3 linked regions of the Oreochromis niloticus genome follow. The protein of the gene in region 1 purifies or fractionates together with the protein of each later gene. This does not show direct contact. Links are inferred from orthologs where the notes say so. Each region holds a gene or a part of one and is shown on either strand. Other genes may lie near its edges. The genes, in order: rpl7l1, rexo4 and pes.

The links.
Region 2: the proteins of rpl7l1 (region 1) and rexo4 purify together in Homo sapiens (affinity purification with mass spectrometry; 3 studies listed by BioGRID and IntAct, with this or other methods). This does not show direct contact. The link is inferred for Oreochromis niloticus from reciprocal best matches to the Homo sapiens genes RPL7L1 and REXO4.
Region 3: the proteins of rpl7l1 (region 1) and pes purify together in Homo sapiens (affinity purification with mass spectrometry; 4 studies listed by BioGRID and IntAct, counting the BioPlex papers as one, with this or other methods). This does not show direct contact. The link is inferred for Oreochromis niloticus from reciprocal best matches to the Homo sapiens genes RPL7L1 and PES1.

Annotation. Positions count from the first base shown.
Region 1 is NC_031980.2:27,061,925-27,068,864, reverse strand, and holds the start of rpl7l1 (60S ribosomal protein L7-like 1), read left to right. Parts: upstream 1-3,860; 5' UTR 3,861-4,189; coding exon 4,190-4,284; intron 4,285-5,005; coding exon 5,006-5,114; intron 5,115-5,232; coding exon 5,233-5,393; intron 5,394-5,470; coding exon 5,471-5,608; intron 5,609-5,698; coding exon 5,699-5,808; intron 5,809-6,940.
Region 2 is NC_031973.2:18,113,333-18,121,051, reverse strand, and holds the start of rexo4 (RNA exonuclease 4), read right to left. Parts: upstream 3,103-7,719; 5' UTR 2,839-3,102; coding exon 2,629-2,838; intron 2,515-2,628; coding exon 2,183-2,514; intron 2,095-2,182; coding exon 1,930-2,094; intron 551-1,929; coding exon 357-550; intron 258-356; coding exon 169-257; intron 81-168; coding exon 6-80; intron 1-5. Other genes in the region: pigp (phosphatidylinositol N-acetylglucosaminyltransferase subunit P), read left to right, coding at 3,604-3,685, 3,762-3,834, 3,921-4,039, 4,205-4,320; si:dkey-197c15.6 (putative nuclease HARBI1), read left to right, coding at 5,435-6,122, 7,610-7,719.
Region 3 is NC_031977.2:17,857,601-17,864,573, reverse strand, and holds the start of pes (pescadillo), read left to right. Parts: upstream 1-3,957; 5' UTR 3,958-4,125; coding exon 4,126-4,149; intron 4,150-4,334; coding exon 4,335-4,414; intron 4,415-5,773; coding exon 5,774-5,927; intron 5,928-6,093; coding exon 6,094-6,203; intron 6,204-6,461; coding exon 6,462-6,633; intron 6,634-6,725; coding exon 6,726-6,815; intron 6,816-6,973. Other genes in the region: p2rx2 (P2X purinoceptor 2), read right to left, coding at 1-42, 576-742. UniProt on the Homo sapiens protein: Component of the PeBoW complex, which is required for maturation of 28S and 5.8S ribosomal RNAs and formation of the 60S ribosome.

The sequences.
Region 1 (6,940 bases):
TTTCATTCTTTCAAATACCAGAAGTTAGACTTTATATCTTTGTCTGATTATCTCATTTTTAAACATTAAATCAGATGTTATGCTCTGTTACTCAGTACTCAAGTAGCCGTTTTACTAAATACTTTTTTTACTCTTACTAGAGTAATTTCTTAGACGGCTACTTTTTACTTTTGCTTGAGTAAAACTATGTTTAAGTAGTGCTACTATTACTTGAGTACAATTTTTGGCTACTCTACCCACCTCTGACTGGCTCAGAGAACCACTCTTACCTGTGACCATCAAACTTTTCATCACCTCCCTATGACTCCTCCTAAGAATTGGTCTGTAGAGTGGTGCACAGGCATCTCAAGTTATCTCAAGGCATCTGTGATGGCAGTGTAAGACAGGTGGAAGCTGTCCGAGTTATGGGCAATCTGTTAAAACAGGATGGCCAGAGCGAGAGAGTGGACCCAAAATGCAGATTCAGCCAGAGGCACAGTCTTTCTCAATAGTGAAACTTTATTTACAGGCTGTGAAAACGTGACACTTGAAATATCGAGCATGAACTGTGAACTATGGTGTGATGGTGTGAATAGACATGACCAGCATCCAGAAAAACGTGACTATACTGCGAAGGTGAGTAGATGATCCAGAGAATAGTAGAGACATAAGAGATAACAAAGTTAGTGAAGAAGAAGTACAATGAATTCTCATGAAACATAATTGGGCAAGCACTATCAGAGGTTACCAGACATTCTGGCAAAGATTTGTTAAGAGCGCTGGTCTTAAAGGCTGATGAGGCTCCACCTAGAGGTGGAAACCCAGAGCTAATAGAAAAACAGCCACTCACCCGCACCATAACACAATCCTTCATACCCTCTCCATGACACGCTGGATAGTCGGAACACATTCAGCCTCAAACTCTCCCTGTGACACTTGGACTATTTTCACTATTTTCACTTTCACATATTTTGTTTATATTGTATACAGCATAACTTTGGAGTACATATTCAAAACATGTTGTGTCTTCAATGGAGTACCTTATTTTTATTTTTCTATATTTCATATTTATAATTTAATTCAGTGTATGTAGCAAAGCAAATTCTGATGCTGATCTGAATCAAAAGCATTGTAGAGTGGGCAGAACTTTGTAAATTTAATGTAGAATTTTTTCAAAGTAAGTAAGTGTCTTTTGTTGAAGAAAATAAATAAATAAATAAAGAGGAACGACCTCCGTGATCGGGTTATAGCTGCATTCAACTTTCTGAGTAGTGCCAGAGAGAAGGTGTTGTTGGACTTGGACAGAGGAGAATAAAGAAAGGAAGGCAGAACGCCAAGCAGGATTACTGAACTGAAATTATTATTCACAATTGCAAATAAATTACAAAATAAATAATTACATTTTACTTCTTTTTACCACCTAGTCAAACTAGTCCCCAGAGAATATTAATAATGTTACTGACTCATTCTGGTACTACAGAGAATCAAAACAAGCAGACATCTGTGCAGTTTCCTTCCATAGGCCTTCACTGTGATGAACATTTAGATCATTCTACTAACATATCCAGTATACCTGCTACTAAACTAAGGCATGCTGCATATCCAGAAGAGGACGGTCCTAGGAACAGCAAAGATACTGCACAGAACCCTCAGCTTGAAGGATAGACTGCCTGCAGGGGCGAGAGGGGACTTTTTATATATAAGCAGCAGAACCCTGAGAAAGAAGAGGAACAAGAATCATCGTGGAAGGACAGGTCACTGCACAGCTTTTACCGGCAGATAGAAGATGTGGCTGTTAAATAAATTAAATGGTCATTAAAAATGTGTTTAGAATGTATATAAAAATATAGCCCAGTTCCTTTTATGTATACTCATACTTACCCAATAAAGCTGATACTGATGTGTGCAGAATATCTCTGTTGTTGCTGTACTTTATAAAAAAAAAAACTAAGCAGTATTCAGGTCACTTTAAGCAATGCTTAAGATGGCTCACTAGATGGAGCAATACGCTCAGACCTGAAACTGCACATATTCAAAAAGTAGTTCAGTTCAGTTATTTCAGTCAATTATCAGGGAGAAATTAAACTGAAGGAAATCACAGTGCTGACACAGTCACATGAGTTTTGAACACAAAAAAGTATGTCTTAATGTGTGAGCCAAGGTTATTATAGTTGAATTAAACTAAATAAAAACATTTAGTTTTTATTTTCATTTTAGTTCATTCAAACTTAAAAAACTACACTTTTGAAATAAATAAAACCTATATAAAAAGGTTTGGTGAACTAATTGATCCACAGTTAATACAGAACAGAATAAAGTAACCTCTATCATCTTCTTGATGGCACTTTGAGACACAGTAAGTCTCTCTGCTACCATAGTTACTCTATCTGTACAGGGACTGTCCAGCACATAACAGCAGGGTACAAGATGCTAACATGAACGGCATACATGGAAGACCATATACAAGTGGCTGGCAAAGTGTATAAAATACAGGAACATCTATGTTAAGTATGGGCTAAAGTCCCATGGACAAAATGGGATATACCCCACAGGGTGGTTGACAATGACCGGGCTAAGATCCTGCAGACCTCCTGATACAGAATAAATAAATATTTTACTACTGTAGACCCATCACCCCCAGGAGGCATAGTAGGAGTCTGTTGCAATCTGTGCCAGGTAGCAACCAAGGGCAGTGGCTCTGCCAGACAGATCCCCAGCTACCCAGAATGGTACTTGGGATATGGAACGTCGCCTCTCTGAATGGGAAGGAGCCTGAGCTAGTATGTGAGGTTGAGCTATACTGACTATAGTCGAGCTCAACTCAGCGCATGACTTGGGCTCTGGAACCAGTCCCCCGGAGAGGGGCTGGACTCTGTTCCAGTCTGAAGTTGGCCTTGCTGAGAGGTGGTGGGCTGGGGTGGGTATCCTTGTATCCCCTTGGCCTGATGCCTATATTTTGGAGTTTTCGCCATTTCACAATAGGGTCGTTTCCCTGTGCCTTCAGGCCAGGGAACAGATCCTGACTGCCTTTTGTACTTATGCCATATTTTTAAAAAAGTGATTTCATGGACTTTGCTACAGTGAAAGAATTAGGAAAATAATTTGTGTCATCTTTTCATTTAATTTTATGACTTGAAGTGTTCATCCTTCTTAGAGTGTTTGTGCAACCTTTCCACAGTATAGCAGCTTTATAGGGTTTAGAGCCCGAAAATGTGACATGTAGTGCTAAAATGCATCTTAAAGCACGTGTTTTGGATGCCTACACCACAGCTCTGTCTTGTCCTAGGTCTGAAGCAGTTTTTCTGAACAGTTTAAAATATTTTCTGAAAACTGATTATTTCCAAGGCATTTGGAAAGATGTACTGTATGTCTCTTTAAAGGCGATATAAGGAGAATACCATCTTTTTAGGGCGTCTTTGAATTCAACCTATGTAGGTTAATCATTCTCATTTCCACATGATATCCTTTTGTTCCTAACACATTACCCGGTCCATATCAGTATAGATATCCTTTTTTGAGCAGTGTATAAAACACTGAAACCAAAATGGCCATGGTGTGTGGGAACAGGGAGGCATGGCTGAATAACAGTGTATGCTTTATTCACATTCACTAAATAACTCAAACGATTAATATATGAAAATCCAAAATAAGTTTATTTTAGACTTTCATGCAAGGAAGGCAAACCTTAAGTGGTCCTGATAAAAATATTTGTGTAACCCTAGGTCATGCTTGGTGTTAAAACAAATCTTTTACTGTCAGATTTGCATAGATGCAAAGTGAGACAAATGTCTGTGTGGGTTCTCAGCCATCCAGGTGATGGCAGCATTGAGACAGAGCTTGACGAAGGAAACAGGCTTAAAAGGTTCTAAAAACAAAAGGTGGAGAGTCCCGGGAATTTAAACCCTAGTGGGGATTGTCCCATTTGGAGGCGGTTGCATTCGTTCTTGCAACCAATCTGCAGCGGCACAACACGCCAGGTTACAAAAATTAAACCTGGAAAAAGAGTAAGAGATGGGCGGATCGATCCGAACGTCGATAGCATCGATACTAGCATGATGGAATGGACGCTTTAGCTTAGTATTTTGAGGCATGTCTGTGCAGACGGCCGTGGCATCGTCATCACCCCCAATGTACCGCGGCATCTTGTGGCATCACCTTAAAAATGTCAGATCTACACATGATGGCATCACCCCCAAACATGGACCGCTGAATGGAAAGGCTCGACCCGAAACGCTGGGGCAGGTCGAGGTACTGTCTGCTGACGTCATTTGTCCGCGACGAAGAATCTACGATGGCCGAATCAGAGTATGTGTTTGATTTTATAATTGTATCTAAGTTCATCCGTTCGGTTTCCTATGTGTAGCTGTGCTGTTTATGCTTTTCCCGCTAAGTACGAGTCTTAAAGATTCGATTAAGGTGTCTATTTAGAAAGATGATGGGTGAAAAAGGCGTATCTGGAGGAGCTTACTTTCACATGGAGTGTATACCGTCGGTGAACCGAAGGTAGCTCCGAACTGAATAAGTATACCCACGGCCTCCCGACTTGGCGTGACCCCTAAAATTTCTGGGTCATGCTGTTTGAATTTGTGTCAGACAATCCTGTTCTCCCGGCCGTCCTATTACAAGGACGCAAGAAAATCCCTGGGACCTCAGGCTAACTAGGTCCTCATAAACAATTTTTTTTTTTTTTTTTTTTTTTGGAGAAGCAGTCTTAACACACCTATCATACCTGTGATACCCCAGTAAGAAGTAACCCACTGTGGTAACACTGAAAAACCTTAGTTTTAGGGTTGCAACTGAAGCTAGTCAACGCCTCCAGTTCTCCTCCACAGCACAATCTTGTGACTGAGCCGCATTTATTTAAATGGTAAATGGTAAATGGCCTGTATTTGTATAGCGCTTTACTAGTCCCTAAAGACCCCAAAGCGCTTTACACATCCAGTCATCCACCCATTCACGCACACATTCACACACTGGTGATTTAGTTTGTCCAAAGCTTCTTTCTCTTACTTTTTGTTCTCTTCAGGACAAAAAAGGCAATCAAGTTGGTTCCAGAGTATCTTCTGAAAAAGAGGAAGGCATACCAGGCAATCAAAGCCACGCAAGCGAAACTCGCACTGCTCGAGAAGAGAAGGGTAAGTACTGATGCTTGTTACATATATACAATACAATATATACTAACTTTGTAGTTAAAGGCTGTATGGAATTTATGTACTGTTGTGCATTCATGTGTGTATTCCTGTAATGCTGCAGGTGACTAAAGGGAAAATCAAGTTCAAGCGTTTGGAAGATTTCTTAAAGGAAAGCCACACGCAGCATCGGGATGACACCCGCATCCAAAGGGTCAAACAGAGACCGGCTGAACCTCTACCACCAGCCAAGAACAAGCTTGCCTTCGCTGTCCGCATTAGACAGTGAGTACTGGAAAGCAGACACAGGCTTCCAGAACCGGCCGACAGTTTGTTTAACCCAACTGGTTCTCTCCTGTTAGGACTAAAGGCGTCAGTCCTAAAGTGATGAAAGTGATCCAGATGATGAGGCTGAGGAAGATCTTCAGCGGGACCTTTGTCAAAATTAACAAGACCTCCATCGCGATGATGAAGATGGTGGAGCCTTATGTGGCATGGGGGTGAGTGCGTGAGACACCGTGTACTTTGGAGGGTAATGCTGGCTTGAATTTGTGTTCAATCCTCTACATACTGGGCTGTGTGTTGGACAGATTTCCCAACCTGAAGTCGGTTCGTGAGCTCATTCTGAAGAGAGGTCAGACCAGGATAGGCAGGAGGAGAGTTCCCCTCACAGACAACACCTTCATCGAGGAGCACATGGGTGAGTCACTCACACTACAGCCTCCCTCCCCACTCACCTGCAGTCACAGTGCACTTCATTTCAGCTGTGCACCTTCTCTCTCTTTTCATCCCTTCCTCTTTCTCTTCCTCTCTTTCTCCCTCTGTCATACTCCATCGTTCTTTGAAGTGTTATGTAAAATAAAATGCATGGTTCTATTTTTACTTCTTAAATTATTTTTTCCCTTTTTTGAATGCCGACTAGTACTGTTAAAGTTGATGTAATAAATCTGCGACACGAAAGCTACAAAAAAGGTGGAGTTGGAGTCAAGAATATACCTGCTGCTCCATCTGTGGCCTTTCGTCAGACTCAGGGGAACACAAGCATTGTTTTTAGTAGCCATTTCCCTCAATGCCGGGTTTCAAAAATTGCAGTTTTAATTTTCGTGAATTAAAATCACTCTCAGGACTCATCGAGTGACGCCACTGACCAGCCAGTGGGTGCCTTGCAGTCTGACAACATCAAATTTTAGTACCTGCTCAGATGGCTTGGAACCCCGGGCGAGCAGGTGGCAAACCGTGCCGAGTTGATCCTATTAGGTACTAATGGCTATGATGTCCTCTAAAGGGCAGACAAACATAGTTGTGTGTATCAAGGTTTTGCAGACTCATGATCAGTAACAATGTAATGTTAGCTTTCTTGCTAGCACATGTGATAATTAGAAAGGTCCATGACCATCTGGTAACCACCAGATGAGTATATCCCAACCAGTTTTGAGTAGTTGCTGGAGGTTGATGGCAGTTGCCGGGGGGATGATGGCTAAAGCCCCAGTCACACATGCCTACAGATGGTCAGTGACTCCCTGGAAACCACCTCTGTCTCTATATAAAAATATGTACTTTTGGTCCAGTTGGGAAAAATCTCCTTGTGATCTTGTGATTGCTTTGGTTGCTAGCATATTGCTCTGATTGCAGTTTGAATAGAAGTGATGGACTTGTCTACAAACAGCGTCTAGCTGCTCTCCGAGCTGTAGTGAAACAGCTCTGGAAATGGAGAAGGTTCACCTTCAAAGTAATAGTTGCATCTTAGAAACATGTTTACTGTAACACTGAGACACAGCTGTTACTTTGAGGTGAACCATCTCTATTTCTGGTTTGCATTCCACTTTTTCAAA
Region 2 (7,719 bases), on another chromosome or scaffold:
CATACCTTTGCGATCGTCTTGAAGGGTTTATATTTCTGAGTATCTCTGATTTTCTTTTTTGGATGATCCAAGAGCAGAATCTGAAACAGGAGATAGTTTGTGGCTGCTCATAATCAGGCTAAGAAAAATATTACATTTGTTCTATTTCCGATATCACATCCATGCTACCTTTAGATCATTGTGTATGGCGTGTCCAACCACTAGTCTCCCTTCCAGGATGTTAGCAACCTCCCTCTGTACAATCTGTACATCCGCTCCTGCAGAGAGACAAACGTGGTTTAAAAAACATCAGAAACACAACATAAGAAACAAAGAGACTTTCAGTTGTTCTTTGCAACTCATTTCATTTCTCTCACCATCTTTGATGTCCTCTGGCCGGATGCCGCTGACAGCTGTCCTGTAGTCTGTTACCTTCTCTGTGGGCTTCACATATTTGTCATAGATGCACTTCCCAAACTGGTTCACAATTGACACACGTGCCAAGATGCTGTCCTCTCCATCAGGACCAACTCCCACCATCTCACAGTCAATGGCCACCGCTTTAGTGAGGCTTAAGGTGAACGACAAAGTGACAAGAAAGGAGAGACATGACAATCATCATCTTCTGTCTCAACGTAAACACCTCAATGTAAAGGCCCCAGTACACCAAACGCAAAGGTCGCTTTGCTCGCTCCAGCAAGACTATCTCACAGTCAGTCGTATTTATACCCGCCATGAAGGCGCAGGAAGCTGCTGCAGTATTCTCCTGAATGACAGGTGTCAGCAATCAGACAATATCGCCACATAAGTGCTGACACAGGAGGAGAAGTTGTCAAAATCGGAAGCCGAGACTTTGTCGAGGTTTTTTTTCCACAGTTTTTTCCACAAACTCAAGTTTTCACACTGTTCCTACATCTCCTTCTCTGTATATCTGCATGTCTCTGAGTTTTTGTGGCGGAATATCCTTAAAATGATTGTAAAAACTGATACAATCGTACACTCTCGTCTTTAACCCTTGCTCAACGCTTCAGGTTACAAAATTGAGAGGCGCATGACCGGCAGACACAGCATAATAGGGTCATACCTTTTGTGACCTAGCTCAGAATGCATCCATCCATTCATCCATCAGGGGTCACAGGTTTTTCCACAGCATTTATCTGTATTATCAATGATTTTCCACAGCAATGTAGTGAGCTCTGAAGCTGTATTGACAGGCTACGTCACCGCAGTGAAGGATTTAATTGTATAAATTCCATTCAACAATTTATCCATCTCCATAACCCGCAGAAAACAGTCAGCAACCATGTTTACTTCATGCTCTGTCCAGACAATTCACTAAAACATGCAATGGCAAAAGTATTTATCACAGACTATATGTAATACTTGACTCCTTGAAGGAAAGCTCCATGAAGCTCTCCACTGAGGGGGAAAAAAACAGTCTCCATCTCCTCAGGAGTGTAGCTCAACTTCATACAGAAGGAGTCCCTAAAATAATTGGATGTCTGATCTTTGACAGCAGATCCAGAGAACTGTAGAAGGTGGGGGGGGGATTGATCATTTACTTTGAGCTTCTTATGCATGAGGCACATAATGTTGTTTAAACAGGCCGAGTCAGTTGAGCGGTTTCAGAGATATTAAAGTCTATATGTTGGGAAAAACACATTTTGTGTGACATTTCCCAAGTATGACATCATGTGCCAAATCCACATTGTTAATATTACATCCACAGTTACTCACAGCCAGCTAATAACACCACGGCAGCAACATTCCTGTGAAATACTTGTATTGAGAGAAGTAATGACATTAGGGACTTGATATTTTTTATAATCGCTGTTAAGGCGTGCATCTTTCCCCGGGAATATTTTCACGCACTTTTCTAAAATGGCATCAAAGCTGCCCGCTGTATTCTGAGTGTGGTTCTCACTGTACACTGAATGCACAGCGACTTACCCTTCAAAAGCATTCTCCTTAACCAGGCTCTTCTCCGTGTCCTTAGCCGAGGCACCATCCGTACCCTTGGCCTTGCCCTGCTTCTTCCTCATGATCTCGGCTGCTTCTGCTCCCATTGTCGCCTCAATGTCATCCGGGTCCACGTCATCAAACCAAAGGTCCTCTCTGCAACAGCAGAGAATGAGATGGGATTATCAGACAAAAATATTCTTGCTGAATAAATGAGTCAACTTCAGTGCTAATATATACATACTCTGTGGGCTTTGTCTCCTCGGATTCAAGCTTCTTCTTCTTAGCTGCCTGTAGGCTGTTTGGCTTCCCGCTATCCCGCTCTCTTTTTGGAGCAGTAGCATGTTTAGTCTTCGAGACATCCAACACCTTTGAGTTGACCCCAGTCTTACCGGAGACAAAACTCTTAGGCACAGTTTTGTGATCCGCTTTTTTCTCAGTGTCTCTCTGGCTTGGTCCAGCATTGTTCTTAGAAATTATTTTAGAAGTATTTTCTTGGACCTTCTTTGGCAAGAAGCCGTTCTGATGTTTCGGTGCCACTGGCTGCTTCTTCTCTGACTGACTGGCCTTCAACACCTGAAGGGAGGAAAATAAGGGAGAAAAACCTGTGGGTAGTATTAAACACAGGCACACAAAAACCAAATTGTGTGACAGGACATGCATGGATATCAAACTACTGCACTCACTGACCTCTTGAAGTGCTTTCCAGTTGGCAGAGAACTGCTGGGAGTCTTTTGGAGGAGCAGTTTGTGGAGCTGTAGGCTTTTCTTGCTCCTTGTTTGCAGGAGCTGAGTAAAACCACTGCCTCTCGTTCTTTTTTAATATGCCGTTTTTCTTATTAGGTTTCCGCTTACGTGCTTTAGCGGGAAACTGTTTTTTCTGTTTCTCCACCTTAGACATTATGATCACCTATCTCATGTATCCTCACCTCCTTATATTTTTCGTGGTGAGGTGTGTAAAGCCACGCTGGCTTGTCAGATGTCCGTTACTTGAGTTGCCAAACAACTTCAGACAGTAAGAAATGTCTCCCCCAGACTAAGCTCACCTTTCGGCCAGCACACGAGCATTACTGAAGCACGTCCCTGAACTGTACATAAAATCGCTTACTCGTAAAACTTAACTCTCTCCGAAGCCATGCCGTTGAGTGTTTTTCCACGATGTGCAACAGTGAAATATGTCCGTCACAAACATGACGTCGTGCTGTAGCTCAAGTGCGTCACGTCAGTAAGATGTGAAAAAAAAATCTCCGACCGTGCTTTTGCTTTACAATTATATAAATGTGAAATTTTATATGATAAACGTAAAAAAGTCATGTTTTGACGCTTGTTTTGTGAGCGATTCAATGGCGGAACTAATGTTTTAGAAAAAGTTTCGCATCGTTCTGAGGAAAAGTGACGGACCGTTGCGGAAGGCTTCATAGCACTAATGTAAAAAAGGCACAGTGGGTTTTGATAGACGTGTTAAACCCATTTTGTATTGCTTTTGATAATCATCAGGCATATAATTAACGTGGTAATTAATGTTAAAAATCTGAGTAAAGTTAGGGTTTAAAGGAGCAAAGAAAAAACGTATTTCCAGGTATGTAACTTCTCTTTGGGGCCTGAATGTTTTATTGCTGTCTCGTTGCTCTCCCACACCTTTCTGTCTGTGTTTTGGTTGTAGATCATGGTGGAAAACTCTCCATCTCCTCTGCCTGAGAGGGCCATTTATGGGTTTGTTCTCTTCCTCGGATCACAGTTTGGCTTCTGTAAGTGAATCAATCCAAAACACAAACAGGAGTTCAAGCAGTGCATGTCTGTAATACTCACTGCGTCTCTCCACAGTTCTGTATTGCTTATGGGCTTTCGTGCCAGAGGAGTGGCTTCATTCAATAGGGCTCACTTACTGGCCTCAAAAGTAAGTAGAACTGCTCTGAGATAAATGGATCACTGGGGAAGCACCTGCACAGTTTCACGACAGTGTCAAATGTGTGTTCTGTTTAGATACTGGGCTCTTGCGATGCCAATCTACTTGCTGGTCGCAATAACAGTCTGTTTCATACTGTTATTCGGTGTGAACATGCGCAACACGGCACCGCTGGACTCTGTGGACAACATCACAGGTGAGGACGTCAACAAAATGTTTTGTTGATGTCAGAGATTGTTGTGTGGGGGAAATCCCAGCAGATTACCAGCTTCTGAAATATTCGGACCAGCCCGTCTGCCACCAACAGCCATGCCACATTTTCAGAATTTCCTGATTGTTAAATGTCTTTTTTCTGTCACAGATGTGTATGCACAAGGCCAGAGCACCGAGTCCTGCCGTAACGGTGGAATACCCCGATTGAAGGATGTGTCCATTAGTGAAGTCAACAAAATGTTCTATTTATCACCCAGTATGTAACAAGCACAGTCTGATACTGCTGTGGACAGAGAAGAAGTAAAGCTGCAGGGGTTTTATTTTGGTGTTACTGTTTGTCTTTTTTTATGAAATGTTTTGTGCCTTATTTATAAGAAGATATATTCTGTTGACTTTTTTATTGTTTAAGCATCTTTATAATGGTTAAATGTGAATTCTGTATCCGAACACACTGGTCACAATAAGATGTATATTGAATGAAAACAACAGTAAATGGCTGTGCTGTCTATGTTAAAATACAGAATGTTTATATTTATTATTCTGTGCAATAAACATGTCATAAATAATCATATTTTTATGTTAATTCTTTTATTTTTAAGTCCACTGCTAGAAGAAAGGAACATCTTATTTTGTTCTAATACTTTAATGCCTGTCAGAAATGTCGGTCTAGAATAAAAGTGGCTCCAGATAATTATTTATGCCCATCCAAATCTTACTAAAGCTGCAAATGAACATCTGCACTTGATTATCCCAGAGAATAAGAGGTAGTTTTTAGCATTTTATCCCACACTACATTTTTGGTTTTTGGTCACCAGCCACTTTATTAGGTACACCTGTTTAACTGCTTGTTAACACAAATATCTAATATCTGAAACTCAGTGCATTTAGTTATGTAGACATGGTCAAGACGGTGTGTAATTTTAGTGACTTTCAACGTTATGGTTGTTGATGACATATGGGCTGGTCTGTGTATTTCAGAAACCGCTGATCTGCTGGGATTTTTCCACACAACTGGTTTACACATTGTGAACTGCAGTCTTTTTCAAATGTTTTTTATTGCTGTCCACTAGGTGGCGATAACGGATCGCTTTAGCTTAAACGTTAAACAAAGACGAGGCAACCAGGAGATTTGTTGTTGCGCTTTAATCAGCCTGCATAACCGGAATAAGATTACGAAACTGGGCGAGTGTCCGCATAATCCTGCAATATATAACAACACAGATGTCGAAACAGGGACACAAGTGAACAGCAGAGGGCAGCAGCACGCCGCCCAGCGTCCAGTCTGCCAAGCCAAAGGAGAAGAAGACGTTGTTTGGGAACGATTTCGGGCACGCCGTGGGGGATCTTTGCTTGTTTAAATACATCGGAGTAAAAACTAATGGCTTTCGCCGTGCCTGTCTGGCTTGCGGTCCAGGAGGAGCTCCTGGCACAAAACGAGGCAGACTACGGAGCTTCGAGCTGCTTTGACACTTTCGACGATGAAGCTCTTTTTCAGTTGTTCCACCTGAGCAGACCCTGCATCCTGTTTATCGCAGACGCCGTCCGCATCCGCATGAAGGACGCCGCCCCCAAGAAATCCCAGCTGCCCGTGGACGAGATGGTCATGGTGGCGCTCAATTATTACGCACATGGGGTCTCCACCACTGCTGTGCTGCAGAAAGCCGGACTGAGGCAGACGGAGTGCCCCACGACTGTGGTTGGTACAATCTCGGGAGTCATAGCAGGGATGTCCGATGTATTCATCTCTTTCCCGCTAACCCTGGACGCCAGAACTAACGTCGCATTAAAGATAGAGAAATTCTGCGGAATCCCAAACGTGCTGGGCGTCCTGGCTCCTGCGCACTTCAAGATCAGAGCATCTCCATATGAAAAAGACGCCTTCAGGTCTTTTATCAATGCCCTGGGTTACACATCGGTTGTAAGCCAGATCATATGCGACTGCGACGGCAACATACTGAGTGTTGAAAAGTGCTGTGTTGGTGGCACGTTTGAGCAAGAGATGTGGGACTCCTCCTTTAAAGGAAGGGAAATGCAAGAGGACCTGCACAGCCCGTTTTGGTTGATTGGTAAGAGCAGTGATGACCTCTTGTGCAAATGTTTATTTAGAAATGTAAACTGGAGTGACAGCACAGTGAGGTATCAAGTCAAGCATAAAAACCTACAAAACTATCATCCGTTTGCGTCTGATGACGACTGGTTGCCTAGCAATAAGAAGCCGCCCAGGAAGACCCCACCCCATCATCTAAACTATCTGAAATTCTGCACTTCCCCTACATGGGTCACCCAGCAATAACCCTTCCAGAAAGGTGTAAAGATCCCTTGATTAAGTAGAGGTGTATGAGGGGATGCAAAGATACAGATATAAGTTAAGGCAATGAATGCAAAACAGTTATTCCCAAAAAGAACGGATCTGCTCTTTAGTGTTTCTATTCCCAGAAAAAGGCAAAATTGACAGTTGTCAAAAGTATTAACTTCTTGGCAAACAGTTGATTTCTCTGGAATATTTCATTCTTTTTACATAAAACACAAATAAAATAGTGTTTTAACTTCTTACACATAAACTTACTGGACATGTTATTAATGCATTATTACGTTATTATTCATGGCCTAGATTCAACAGGGTGATGGAAAATTTCGTCACAGATTTTGGTCAATGTTTCTTGATTCATATCAGATTGCTGCAGATTTGTCAGCTGCACATCCATAATGGGAATCTCCCTGATCACCACATCCCATTCTTCTGTCGTCCAGTTTCGATGAGCCAGTGCAAACTGTGACCTCAGTTTCCTGTTTTTAGCTGACAGCTGTTGCACCCATTGTGGTCTTCTGCTGTAGTAGCCCATTGGCTTCAGGTGTTGTCACAGATGACCTTCTGCATACCTCAATTGTGGTTACTTTTGCCTTCCTATCAGATCAAAGGAGTCTGGCCATTTTTCTCTGACCTCTAACATTATAAGCTGTTTTCTGCCAGGGAACTGCTGCTCACTGGATATTTTCTTTTTCCTACCATTATATGTAACTCCAGCGCTTGTGTGAGGAAATCCCAGCAGACAGTTGTGAAATACTTAGACCAGCCCATCTAGCATTAACATCTCACATTCAAAGTTCTTTCTTCCTCACTGTGATTCTCACTTTGAGTTGTGGAGGCCATTTCAGTACAGGAAACTCATTTTCATGCTCAAGAAACCCGTTTTACATGAATTGAGCTTTGTGACATGGCGACTATCTTGTCTAAAGGAGTCAGTAGAAGATTGGTACACTGTGGTCATAAAGGGATGGACATAGTCAGCATCAATACTCAGATAGGCTCTGGCATTTAGATGATTCTCAGTTTGTAATCAGGGATCAAAGTATTCCAAGAATGGCTATTGCCTAATTTTAGTGAGCCCATGCAAACTGAAGCCTCAGTTTCTTGTTCTTAGAATGAGCTCTCACTAGAGTGGCACCTGTGTGGTCTTCTGCTGCTATAGCCATTCTGCTTCAGGGGTCCACATTGTTCAGAGATGCTATCCTGCTCTGATATTCACTGCATTCTCTTATGTTTCATTTAAAGGTGGGAAAGGCTACCACTTAAGCAAGCACGTCTTGACTCCTGTATCACTGCCCGCGAACAACAACGAGATCCGCTTCAACGAGGCCCATGCAAAGATCCTCGATGTCATG
Region 3 (6,973 bases), on another chromosome or scaffold:
GTTTCACTCTCTTGGTATGCTTTCTGACTTATAAAGACATACCTTCAGGATGATAGAAGAGACAGAGGTAATATCACATTTTCTACCATGATGTCAATTTTTATTGGCGGTGTCATGTTACCCTGGATCTGCTCAGCCCTCTTTGCTGAAGACAAAAAAGGTGATGATGTACTTTCAGATGCTCACTTCAGAGCATTTAGTTTATTTCAAATCTGAAACACTTTACATCTGTTCTCCTTGGATAGCATTTAAATCTCTGATAATATAGAGACTGGATGAGTCACACTCAGTTGGATAGTTGAATTTTATGCTGTTAATTGCAAATGGGATGCATTTCCTCCCCACAAAACTGCACTGCATTAGTTAAAATTTAAAGCCGTAGTGTATTTATTTCATCTGCATGAATATTATTCATTTAAAAAATGCTTTTAATTTTACTGTAATTAAATTTAAAAGAAAACACATTCAGACCAACAGATCTAACAGAAAAAATGTAGAAAAGACAAAATAAACCTGAATTTCATACATTGTCCACACACCCAGTCATTAGACATGCAAATGTAAGTGAAGCTTACCATATGAAATAAGTGATCACAAGAAACTGAACACTCCTGTAAATCACGCCAAGAGTTCTGTTCTTAACCACCATCACCTTGGGGGTCTCATAGTCCCAAAAACCATGAATATACTCCTTCAGGAAGTTATGTAGCCCCATGATGATTTTATGGCATGTTTCCGTCATATCCTCAGATGTTCTTGTGAAGTCTTATGATTGAATCTGTATATTTAGCTTTAAATTTCTGTCATCATGTCTTTTTCTCAGCTCCAGCCTGCATTTCTCTCAAGCATCCCTGGCACCAGTGAGTGAACAAGAGAGTAGGGGGTGGGGTCCTGATGTGGTTGAAGGCAGGATTCATTTTTTATGCCACTCTATTCTGATAAATCAGCTTTATGCCTGGATCAGTTTCTCCCTGTGCAAGACTCTTTTAACTCTCATCTTCTTGTTATTAGTTTTTTATCTTTTCTTTTTACATACTGTCTTACTTTGCACATACATTGTTTTAAATTGTCAAAATTTGCAGATCTATTAATTGCTTGAAATTACTGGTTTTGATCAGAGTGTGTTGGTCTGGATTTTTATGAGCAACGGTCAAACCTGCAGAAAGGTGTGACGAAAAAAGGGATGCCGAAGAAGTACAACAACCTGTCCATACCTGAGGTCTTAGAAACTGCCAAGCAAAGACTCACAGCCTTGGGTAGCTGCTTGAAAAGGTATACCAGAAAGTTCGAAGCCAGGAGAATAAACCATTCAAGGTACTCTCAGTGGCAGGGAAACAATATGAGAACAACAGCCTCACCAATGCTGGAGACCTAGCAGTACTGGAAGACCATGTGCGAGATGCAACTTATAGCAATAATGCTCAGTGGCTAGTGGCTCTAAGAGCAGACCACAGCAACCTCCCTGGATAAGATCCAGTAACCATCACAGCAGTAGGCATCCAAGAAAGGGTCATAAGCATGAAGATTTGGACAGCACCAGGCCTTGACATGATACACAGATACTGACTAAAGAAGCTAACTGCCCTTCATGAATCTCTGAAGCACAAATGAACCACCTGCTAATGGATGAGACACGACGAGAATGGCTAACTGAAGGCCGGACAGTCCTGACTGGTCCTATCCAACTACTAGCCAATAACTTGCTGCAGTACATGGAAGCTTCTGTCAGGCATCATAGCAAAATGAACAGGCACATGGCTCAATACATGAGCAGGGCAGGAATTGGCAGAAAAACTCAGTGGGGGGGAAACAACAGCTACTGGTAGACAGATCAGTAACTGTAAGACCAGACCGACCAACCTATGCACTGCCTGGACTGACTTCAAGAGAGCCTCTGACTCAATGACTTACATGTGGATCCTGGAATGCCTAGAACTGTACAAGTGCTTTTTCTACCCAATCAGAGCGTTCAGAGCGCTTTATACAGCATGCCTCATTCACCCATGCACACCCATTCATACAAGCACTTTTTCTATGCTTAAGTGTTTTCTATCAAACATTTACACTTGAGATGGATGCATTGGAGAGCAACAAGGTGTTAGTATCTTGCCGAAGAATATTTGGCATGTAGTCTGGAGCAGCCAGGGATCAAACCACCAAGCTTCCAATTAGTAGATACTCTACCTTCTGAGCTACAACCACCCCTGTACATCAGGAAGATGCCAACGAATGACCACGTGCTTAGTGAATACCTCAGGCAGCAGAAACATGAGAAATAGAAAGGGCAAGAAGAGGAACCATCATGGAAGGACAGGCCCCCATACAGCATGTACCACCAGCAGATAGAAGAAGTGTCTATTATCAAGAAATCCAACCAATGGCTGAAAAAAGCTGTACTGAAAGACAGCACAGAGGCACAAATCATGGCAGCGCAGGAACAAGCTCTAAGTACAAGATCCATAGAGGCAATGGTGTACCACACCAGGCAAGACCCCAGGTGCAAGCTGTGCAAAGATGTCCCTGAGACACTCCAACACATAACACCAGGGTGCAAGATGCTAGATGGCAGCAAATCCAGGTAGCTGGTATATAGAGAAATATCTGTGCCAAGTATGGCCTGAAAGTCATGAGGTCAAAATGTGATATGCCCTCCATGGTGGTTGATGATGACTGAGCTAAGAGCCTGCCAGTTACAGACAGACAAACTGGTGATGGCTAACCAACTGGACATAGTAGTGTTGGACAAGCAGAGGAAGATGGCCACAGTGAAAGATGTTGCTAGGATAACATTTTCAGGAAGAAGAAACACAAGAAGCTCAAGAAATACCATGGGTTGAGAGAAGAGCTTAAGAAGATGTGGAGGGTGAAGGCAACAGTGGTCCCAGTGGTAATCAGAGCACTCAGGATAGTGACTCCCAAACTGGGCAAGTGGCTTGAGCAGATCCCAAGAATGATATTCTAGATCTCTGTCCAGAAGAGTGTAGTCCTGGGAACAGCAAAGATACTGTACAGGACCCTCAAGCTTCCAGGCCTCTGGTAGGGGACCCAAGCTTGAGGCATAAAGACTGCCTGCAGGGCGAACAGGTACCTTTATTATATATAGTAATATAATAAAAAATAGTGCTGTCACTTATAGTTGTGGTCAGAAGTTTACATACACTCATCCTGGCTATTAATGTGATGGTAATTTTGAGCTTTTAAAGATGAAACAAGAACTTAGTGCACAAGTTTGAATTTATTTTGGATTTTCTCCAATCCTTAAACATAAAAAGCTTAAACATATACACTCGCTTAATTCTTAAATGATGCTGACACTTATATGACCTATGAACTTATTTTTAGTGATAATGACTGGCTACAAGTGGTAGTTTCTCTTTCCGTCATAAAAAGGTGTTTTTTTGTTTGTTTGTTTGTTTGTTTGTTTGTTTGTTTGTTTGTTTGTTTTAAGCGCTTATTGTATTACGGAAGCGTAGAGCTGCCACCCAGGCAAAAGAAAAATAGAAGTATATCACGTTATAACGTGAAAAGTTTATTGTTCTAACAAGATACTTTTCATGTTTGTACAATATACTTTCATGTTTGTACAATATACTTTTGACGTTTGAACAATATAATATGACGTTATTACAATATACATAATTATCACGTTCGTACAATATAAATATCACGTTCGTACAATATAAATATTATATTGTACGAACGTGATAATTATGTATATTGTAATAACGTCATATTATGTTGTTCAAATGCGAAAAGTATCTTGTTAGAACAATAAACTTTTCACGTTATAACGTGATATACTTCTATTTTTCTTTTGCCTGGGTGGCAGCTCTACGCTTCCGTAAAAAGCACACGCCATTGATGAGTGTATGTAAACCTTCCATACAGTGTATGTACGAATGTTTCACGTCCAAAACCCTTTTGCGGCTTTCCTTTGTAAACAGGCAGATCAACGGCCCACCCATGGGTCCTGCTGTTTGGGCCATCTCCTTCGCGCATGTCAAGCCGCACGTGCATTTGCTGCGTGTCGTGTCGGTCGTTGTTGTGTAACATTGCGAATCGTGTACTTTGTGAAAACAACTACAATTGGATAAAACTCTGTGGAGGGTTAGAAACGGTCTCTAAATGGGAGGTCTTCAAAAGAAAAAGGTAGGTGTGGGTGTTCGTGTAATGTCGGGCGTTTTATTACCAAAAGTCTGACTATCCAGTTAGCTAACAGCTAGCTGAAGTTTGTTTTTCTCAAACAGTAGATTCTCCTGGACTCGGGTGAGCTTATGTGCCTTGTTAACACATACTGTTTGTGCTGAATATGAGCATCTTCCTATGTTTTCCAGTTTGAGAGGGGCTCTGCCACCAACTACATCACCAGAAACAGAGCTCGAAAGAAGTTGCAGCTCAGCCTCCCGGACTTCAGGTAACGTTGCAGTTAGCATTTTTACACGTGTGTGTGTGTGTGTGTGTGTGTGTGTGTGTGTGTGTGTGTGTCTGTCTGTCTGTCTGTGTTTTAAATCACGATATATTCATACCCCGACGCCACTATATTAGTTTCTCGTTATTGTATAGTAGCTAACGCTTTCTGGGTGGAAAAAGGTGCTAGGGCCCATTTACAACACAGTCTTTAAAACTCAACTCAGTGGGTTTTCTTTGTTTGTTTGTTGTGAAACTGTGTATTGAACTGTGCTGTGTATTGAACAAGGTAGACATGTGTGCAGAGTCAAACAAAAGTGCATTTCTTTTCGGCTCCTGGCTTTGGAGGTCACAACAGTAGTCCCTAGCATCCTCCTCTTTCACATCAACACTCTGCATGTACTTCGCTACATCCATGAATCTCCTCTGTGGTCTTCCTCTTTTCCACCTGCCAGACATCTGCTCCATCAACATCCTTTGTCCAGTAATCATCCACCGTCCCTCCTCTACACATGTCCAAACCATCCCAGCCTTGTTTCTAACTTTGTCTCTGCTCAATCTTAGCAGTCCCTTTGATGTACTCAATTCTTACATTCCTACTGTAAAGTTGAAAATCTCAGCAGCTCTACCAGCTTGGCCTCCTGTCCAAATTATACTTCACAGCAGGTCTCACTACCATCTTGCAATCCTTAGCTGTCATTCTTGCTGCTATCCGTCTGCCACAAATCACCCCTGACCTTCATTTCCATCTGCCCTGCACTCTCTTCTTAACCTCTCTTGTGCACTGTTGCTTTGGATGGTTGACCCCAGCGTTAAAACTCCTCTTTCACTACTTCTGCTTCTCGCATCTTTGAAAAAAGTGAGTGAAATGCAAAAAGTATTAATGCATCCTCAAAAGTGAAGCAAAGTTTAATTAGCATTTCAGTAAAAACCTTGTTACCTTCAACAAGGAACAATGTATTGACGCCCAAGTTAGTGAGATAAAGTTATGTTAGTAGTTAATAATGGATCTGCACCTAGTGATATTCTTTATGATCAGCACTATATCCATAAATCACATCTGACATATAATGTGCATATATTAATTTAACAAAAAATTCTGAGGTGTCTTAAATTTTTAGTGAATGTGATCAGAATATTTGGCAGTGGCTGGTAATTTCAAAATAAATCCCTGGTTTTGAAAATGTTACTCTCCATGCCAATATTACTAAGATTTTTTTATAAACACCAGATTAGTTTCTGTTTCTGTTACATCACAGCAACTTACTTTTCTCCAAGTTTGTTCCAAATCTCGATTTCCAGTTGCAAGGCTTTCCCAGAAAGGAACCTTGTTGCAGACAAATGATTTCTCTTCTCTGATTTTCAGGCGACTTTGCATTCTCAAAGGCATATATCCTCATGAGCCAAAGCACAAGAAGAAGGTGAACAAAGGCTCTACAGCCCCAAGGACCTTCTACCTGCTCAAGGACATCCGCTTTCTGCTCCATGAGCCAATTGTTGGAAAATTCAGAGAGTACAAGGTATCTTACATAAGAAACCAGTGCCTTAGTGTGCTTTACCTCTACAAAAAGGATATTTAAAACACTTTGTTTTAATCAGTTTTTCCTCATCATGTCTTTGTTTTATAGTTTGATTTAAATTTGGTTGACAGTCTTTTTTTGTACCTGTGTTATTTTCTTTTTATAGATATTTGTGCGTAAGCTTAAGAAGGCTTATGGAAAAACAGAGTGGTCTGCAGTGGAAAGACTGAGAGAGAACAAGCCAACCTATAAATTGGATCACATCATCAAAGAAAGGTGGGGTGGTTATTCTTCACACTGAACATAAGAGGGCACAGTTGATCTTTTTTTCTCTGCCACTGTATGAATTAAATTGAAATTGTAGGGTAACAGTAGGACAGGATCTTTAGTAGTCTGTCAGTAGATTTTTTTTAAAGCTTTAATTGAAATTTAACAGATTTTTTTTTTTTTATTTGAAAGGGAAGATGTTTTTGTTAAAAACACAAAACAAAAACAAAACCTCACAAATATTGTTTGTGCTTCTTTTTTTGGCAGGTATCCAACCTTCATTGATGCCCTCCGTGATATCGACGATGCCCTCTGCATGTGCTTCCTCTTCTCCACTTTTGCTCGAACAGGAAAATGTCATGTGCAGACAATCCAGCTGTGCAAACGGCTCACTGTGGAGTGGATGAACTATGTGATCACATCACGTTCTCTGCGAAAGGTGCAAGTTCACCAGCCTGTTATTGATCTGACTCAGTGAGAGTTGATTGACCTGTGTTCTGTAATGCACTAAATGTTTGTCTACTTTGATAGGTTTTCCTCTCCATCAAGGGAATATATTATCAGGCTGAGGTGATGGGACAGCTCATTACATGGGTGGTGCCATATCAGTTCTCCCATGATGTAAGTGCAGTTTGGCAAATTGCAGTCAACAGGGACAGTGCTAATAATAAGCAGTCACTTTATTACTGTGGGGTTATAACATAGGTTGCCAGGCAAACATCGTAAATAAAAAATTGTCCTTAATGACTTGCCTGCTCATTAAGAATCAGAAATGTGTG